Linked DNA regions of Solanum lycopersicum. The protein of the gene in region 2 interacts with the protein of the main gene of each other region in a pairwise test. Links are inferred from orthologs where the notes say so. Each region holds a gene or a part of one and is shown on either strand. Other genes may lie near its edges.

Region 1 (3,759 bases), on a different chromosome or scaffold from region 2:
TGTTATGTTGGATACTATATCAAAACTAAAAGGTAGTTCATAGGCTACAAACACCTAGAAATCAACCCCTTGTCCACAGATAGCCAGGAAACCTATTTCTTTATTAGTTGCCAAAAAAAAAGACCTAAAAACAAACCCATCACCCTAAAATTAATCAAGAAGATCCACAGGAATACTGACAAACATGATTCTGATCAACAAAATCTCACCTACATTGATAATAAGTTCCAATAATTAAGTAACTTAAAGAGAAATTTGAATAAAGAAAGTTAAGATGATATGAAAAGAATTCATAACTGGAAAATGAATTGAGAATAAACTTCCATAAGGGTATTAAAGAAACAGGCAGAAAAAGCGAGGCAGGGTAGACAAATTAATCAGGGGTTCAAAAAAATATCACTCCCTCCGTTTTAATTTATTTGTCATGTTTTGACTTGGCAAGGAGTTTAAGAAAATAAAGAAGACTTTCAAATCTTGTGGTCTTAAATTAAAGATAGTCAAATGTAACAAAGTGCCCTTTAATCTTCTGGTCTTAAATATGCCATGCGGAAAGTTAATGTTAAAGAGTTACCAAAGAAGGAAAGAGATATTCTTGTTGAAACATACTAAAAAGGATAGGACTAACAAATTGAAATGGAGGGGGTATGATTTTGAACGGAAGTAATTGTTTTATAATATTCTATCCTTTTAACCTTGTGCAGGTGATTGAGCAGGGAGATGAATTATTTCTAGATGAAGGGTCAGAATAAATAAAGAACGTATGAAGAAGAGATCTTATTATGAATGTAAAGAAGTTACCATAAGACCGCCAAAAAATCCATCAAGCAAGACTCTGTTCCAGCTGTCAAAGTAGGAGTGGATTGAAAACTTGGCCTTTGCCGTGAGTGCAACTGAAGTTATTGCCATGACAAGGAAATAAAATATAAATCCTGTCAAGCTAGTAAGTCCCAGAATGCCGGCAATGACACCACCAATGATTGCCATGAATGTGCGGCTGAACAACAGAATGCTCAATGTAAATGGAGATATCCAATGACAAGGAAGAAAATCTACTAGCTTAGAAAGACGAAAAGAACCCATTTTCTTGTTAATATATGATTGATTGCCTGTCTCAATCATATTTTTATTTATCCTTCTGCTCCAACTCTGTGATCAAGTATTACATTTCTTTGTCGACAGTTGCAACACAGAGCTCAGATTTATTTGTTTATTTTTCCTTTTTTTAGATAAGTTTATGGAGCTTGGGGTTGCTTTGCTGTAGAGGCAAAATGACAAGGGTAGTCCCAGGACTTCCGCTAGCATTGGAAACAGGTATTAACTGTTCAATTACTCAAAAAGCTATTACTTTACTGATCAAAAAGAAATTATTCAAAACTACAACTAATTCATTAATTGTAAGTTTAAAAGGTTAAATTCGCCATTAATATGATTACAATCTGCAGTTCTTGGTTTAGGGCATTAGTTTGTTTAATTGGTGATTGAGGTACTTGTAGGACTTTACAGAGATAAAAAACGGATATAGGACTATACGTATCTCCTCTAGCAATTACAGGCAAGCATACAACTGTACCAAGGGCAAACACACTTTCTGTTTAAGGGCAAGGAGTAATAGTCTTGGGTGAAAGGAAGATAGGAAGAAATCAAGGACTGCAACCCAATTGGCCAAAATACATACTAATCATACCAATGTAGAAGTGTAATCCCACAGATGTAAAGAAGCTAGACTGAGGCTACTTAATGAGGTAAGTTATCTAATTAAACTTATACCATATTCTTTATTCTATATCCTAGTGACGTTCCACCGAAATGATGCCTCAGTGAAGGAGTTAAAGCTACATGAGTATATAATCCCTAATTTCAACCAGTTGTTCAGTTGGGCTAACATCAGTGTCACATAATTGAGGATGAAATTCACATCGATAGTCTGTATCAACCTACATCCAGACTTTATAAGAAAAATCAGCTAAATTGTTACTATCCAAAATCATCAAGGAACTATAATTTCAGTCCACCTAAATATGGTGTCAAACTCAAACCAACCTGTAAAGAATAACTTTCATGTTGTTTTGCATATTCTCAGCATTGAAAGTGGGCAAATCATCCATACCACTGGTCGACTTTTCTGTAGATCCGTTCGAGTTATCATGCCCAGCCATCGCGCCTTTTTGGAATTCTACAGCAAACATCAAAATAATAAGAATAGAGAAGTTGAGATGTAGATCGAGAATAGAACTTTGTGGTCACTCACTATCTCAGTTAGAAAGAAGATTGAATTCATCAACATAACAAAATAATTTACCCAAGATATCCTATAAGATAATGAAATACATAAACATTCAGATGTTCTTCCATGGATGTCATATCCAGTTCAATTCAAACTCTTCCCGTTACAATTGATTGATTCTATGATCATAACTAAGAAGTCGAATCATAGCCAGTTCGATTCAAACTACCTCAGTTGGTGGATTCAACCAACACAAGAGAAAATTGAAGTTTCTTCAAGGGCGGCTCAAAACCTCAAAATTACATATCTCAAATTCAGTTCGCTTAAATATGAACACACACTCCGAATCGCAAGCATCCACAGAAACAGTAAATATACATATACATACATAGACGGAAAGAGATAAAAAGAGACAAACCAAACAAATCTGATTAAGGCGATGGCGATGATTACTAATTGTGAGAGCACCGTAAGAAGCAATGGCAGAACGAACTCTGAGATTGAAGGACCAAAATATCCCTCGCTCAACCTCTAGCCTAGTCCTTATACTAAATAGAATATAAGTAAAAGCCTAAAATACTTGTAGTATTAAAAATGATATAAAATTATCATTCATCCATTTATTAACTTCAATATGCGCTTTTCATTTATTTGTTGGCTCTAAAATATCCTTCTCATCCAACTTTGACATCTTTGGGTTCAAAATTAAAATTAAACTTTTTATATATTTTATTAAAATACTTGACGTTCGACTATTGATTACAATTTGATTTATTAATATAATTTATAAATCAAATCACTACCCACTCATTACTAACTAAACCCCACCGAATTAGTAATCCAATTATAATATCAAAATCGTTATAACACTACTAAAACACGACGAAATTATAGATTCCTGAAAATGACATTCAAAATTATTCGAGTCCGTATCGAATTAAGAGGATACTTTCAATAGAATTCTCTTTCAAGATTGAATTAGAAATTTATGATTAAAGGTAAAAAAGCAATGCATCCCCAATTAATTCATGCACTATTTTTAAATATAATTTTATAAATATTTATGATTTGTTTTAAAACCTTTAATATATTATTTTGAAAAAAAGTTACCTATGAAGTAACATCACATAATTGAGACGTAAAAATTATTAAGATGAACATAGTCATACTTTTAAGTTTATCGATAATTTTTATTTAGACACTTGAATGTATAATAATTTACTTCTATAGATATTTTCGCCTAAATTTTTTAAAAAACACTCAGTTGGCAGTAGCTGTTCTATTGTTGCATTAATAATGTGACGGGTTTATTAATTTAGAGGAGTTTAATTAGTAATGGGTGGGTAGTGGATTGATTTATAAATTATACTAATAAGTTAAATTATAACAAATAGTTGAGCGCCACATATTTAAAAAAATATTTAAATAGTTTAAATATAAAACCGTTAAATAAGTGGTCAATTTTGAACCAAAAGGTGGATGACAAGGGTATTTTGGACCCAATAGGTGGGTGAGAGGGTATTTTAGAGCCAATA
Region 2 (3,759 bases):
GAACTCTCTGATTATTTTTGTAGTAATACCAATGCAACAGTATCAAATCCAATTATCAATATGGTGTTCAGTGTGTCCCAAACTTCAGCTCAAAGGCACAAGAGAATATACCAGGAAACAAGAAGAAATGATAATGAAAAATTAGCCTTGGAGAAGCAAAATGATGATAGGAACTTCAAGAAACCTTGACTCACAAGTTTCCGAGAGGTCTTAGCATAGAATTTCTATGATGTGTCCAACTTATGCAACAGACGACAAAAGACACTTTTTTGGAGGGGGTGGGGGTGGAGTGCAGAAAAAATTAATGCACCATGACATTTAGAATAACTAACGAATGAGGCTAAAGTAAACAAATCTGACACAAACATGTACACGAGTATTTTTTTTTTCACAGATCTAGACATCTAGTCACTAGAATAACTTAAACCAATACTATTTTTGATATCACAGCGACCTCGAGAAATAAAAGGCTATTATGCAAAGTTGTCTCCAACTGATACTAAAATCAACTCTTCCTCACAACCTTTCTGCTTTTCTTTTTCAATTTTATGACCATGCCAGATTTCAAATAACAAATAAATTGAAAACAAGGTTGTAGAAGATCCTTGGGAAGAAAAATCCTATACTGAAATTTTCCATAGACACACTCTACCCTATGTAGGTACACGAGATATATTAGTTTAAAGGCATGAAGATTCTGCCCTTGTTGTATATAATCCACCTTTCCGTTACTGCTAATAATAATAAGTTGACCATTTGATCTCTACGGTATATCAAAAACTTCAATATTCTAACTCAAACATGATTTTCTACAATATTATTGTGTTTCTATAAGGAAAATGTCCACATGTTTCCCATATCTAGTGTACATGTGAATATACAGTACCCAAGCATTCACTGAAAATTGTATAGTATTTCGGTCCCAGCGAAGTGATGTCGGATTTGAAGTTGGAGTAGTTGGCGTGCCTGAAGTTCTACTAGCTTGACCTACACAAGAAAAATTACATAAATTGCATTTAAATGAACCAAAGATTTATATCTGAAGTGAATAATTTCTCCAGAAGGAAGGCACTTCCCATTTAGTTGAAACTAAAAAAAAATCATACCAGAGTTACGCTGTCTTGGCTGGTTATTAGAAGGTGTGGACGATGATGATGATGGTTGAGCAACTGATGGTTTTGCTGGTTGGGACGAACTGCTGGTAGCCATTGGCTCAACCACTAGACCAGGGTCCTGAAAATAATGGATATAGAATCAAACAAACCAAAGCAATACCCCAAGATCAACACAAAAATGTAAAGATGTGTCCCACTGCAGATATCTGAAATGGTATTTTAAGTACAACAAAGCTAAAGCATCTGTCAAAATTGCAGAAGGGCTACTTCAAGAACTTGAACCGACTCCCCACTCTTATCATTATTGTGTTTTAAAAATCTCATTTTGGTATCAGGAAAACATTGCTAAGAGCCTAGGAGTATTCACACACTATTATTTGACATGATTAGGAGCCTCCCTTCTGACTTTCCTCTGTTCCCCCAAGAAAAGGGAGGATGAGGTGATTAATCAGGTGAAATAAGGTATACATCTAACAATAATCTTAATTTTAAGTAGACTTCATTTTTTATTTCTTTGATTTCTGGCTGGGAACCCCAAAAAATAGAGTTTTTGACAAAACTAAAGGATTGTGTTTTTGAAACAAAAAAAAAGCCTAAAAACTCAGCTTCATTTTGAAGAATGACATACTCAAACAATCCACACCACAAAGAAAAGAGATGCAATATTTGGAAAATTTTACAGATATTTTCAGTGCAGAGAGTAGAAGTCCCTGAAATTTGTGTACAATCAACTCAGAGTTACAAGCTAATACCATTAAATTCATCCATTGTAGACATTATAACAAATAATCAATGAACCCCTCTCAACTTGGAATGAAGTATAAGCCACTGATTTACCCAAAACCCAACCTTTTCCAGAAACCCTTTGGTTAAATTGAATTAAGAAAAATTTAGAACTAAGAGCCTTGTAAGACTAGGGCTTGAAAACATAAAAACCGGAGTCCCAAGTCCCAACAAAGTATAAACAAGAGTAATCGAGATTAACACATTAATTAATAAAAGATAATGTAGTAGTAAACCCCATGTGAAGTGGAATGATTTCGAATAAGTTAAGATACTGACTATGTATCGTTGATAAAACTTGCGCTTGAAATGGTCGACGACATCAGAACGAGAAGCCATGTGAGGAGGAATGAGTATATTGGACCAATAATCTGCCCATCTCGGATCATTCTCGTAGTCATACGCTGCTGCTGCTGTGTTCTTCAATTTCTGTTGATCTTCTTCTCCTCCTCCCATTTCTTCCTCCTCCTCTCCTACAACTCAAACCTCTCCACTCTAGATATCTCGATACGAGTAAAATACGACACCGTTAAGGGTTTTCAAGGAATATTGGGGTTTTGACTTTTCACTAAAGATACCATCAAAATACAGATACATACCACTATTTATTTAATAGAATATATAAGAATAATATTAAATATGAAGTACTTGTTATAAAAAAAAAAAAAAGTAATATGCTAGAAATAATATAGACAAAGATACATGAGGAATAGAGTGTAGAGATCATTTTATTCAAATGTCTTCTTCTTTCATCTTTATAATGGGGAAAGAAAAACCTTATTTCTAAGTTGAGAAATCATTCCAAAAATCATCATATTAAGTATCATAATAAATACATACATTCTTATCTATAAAGGTTAATAGAACCTACGGAATATGAATAGTTATTCATGTATTAACTCAATAGACAATCCACTCATCTAAGAGATGACACATTCCAATCTTATACCTCAACTTCTCAAATATTGATATTGGCAACAGCTTAATAAATAAGTTTGCAAGATCTATCTCATTATTTTGTAGACGATCACATGTGAAGAAGAACTTTAGTGAAATGTACTTTGTCCAGTCTCTTTTGATGTATCCTCTCTTCAATCGAGCTATACATACAACATTATCTTCATACAAAGTGTCTGGAATACCTAGAAGAATTACATTGTCACACCCCGGAGCACATCATAGAAGATATGACACTCTCGGAGTGTGACATGGCGTACTTGACCTCTCGGAGGTCTTGTACAAGGCCTTTGACATCATTCAGTATATATATGTATGAAAAGTAGTGCGAAATTAAAACTTTTCACACGAAATATCTTAAAACATCTTTGAAATTAATATCATATGAAAATACTAAGTCTCAACATATGCCAATTTTAAACACAAGAATATTTGGGACACGGCCCATACAATACGAATATAGAATTACTTAGTCTATTACAATACTTGAATAAAATAAGTCTAAAGATAGGTATGCCCTCGACTCAAGTGAGGACATACTTCAACTTTGCTTGAACGATTACTAGATTCCAAGCTTGCTCCAAGATTTCTCTCACCTGTTTATCATACCTTTAGAGATAGACAAAAAGTATGGAATTAGTATAAACACATGTACTAAGTATGACTTAATGCATAAAATCATGAGAAACTGACATTTATGAGAAACATGCTCTTTTTTTTTTTAATTAAAACATCATATTAAAAGTATAAGAACCACATTTAAGCACCAAACATTATTATTAGAACACATTTACCAATTATGTTCAATTTACAAGAACATTACAGTAAACCTACAGTAATCTTACAGTGATTTCGTTGTAAGTTCACCCATAATTCACATTTCACAATATCATATCACTAACTC

Evidence for each region. The genes of interacting proteins can lie anywhere in the genome.
Region 1: the proteins of uncharacterized protein (region 2) and uncharacterized protein interact in a two-hybrid assay, tested with the Arabidopsis thaliana proteins (2 studies listed by BioGRID, with this or other methods). The link is inferred for Solanum lycopersicum from reciprocal best matches to the Arabidopsis thaliana genes AT3G02420 and AT5G49540.

The regions. Positions count from the first base shown.
Region 1 is NC_090800.1:62,622,941-62,626,699, forward strand, and holds the start of uncharacterized protein, read right to left. Parts: upstream 2,812-3,759; 5' UTR 2,643-2,811; exon of another isoform or gene 2,300-2,642; intron 2,174-2,299; 5' UTR 2,157-2,173; coding exon 2,041-2,156; intron 995-2,040; coding exon 799-994; intron 1-798.
Region 2 is NC_090802.1:12,575,174-12,578,932, forward strand, and holds the start of uncharacterized protein, read right to left. Parts: upstream 2,487-3,759; 5' UTR 2,355-2,486; coding exon 2,178-2,354; intron 1,234-2,177; coding exon 1,107-1,233; intron 988-1,106; coding exon 887-987; intron 1-886.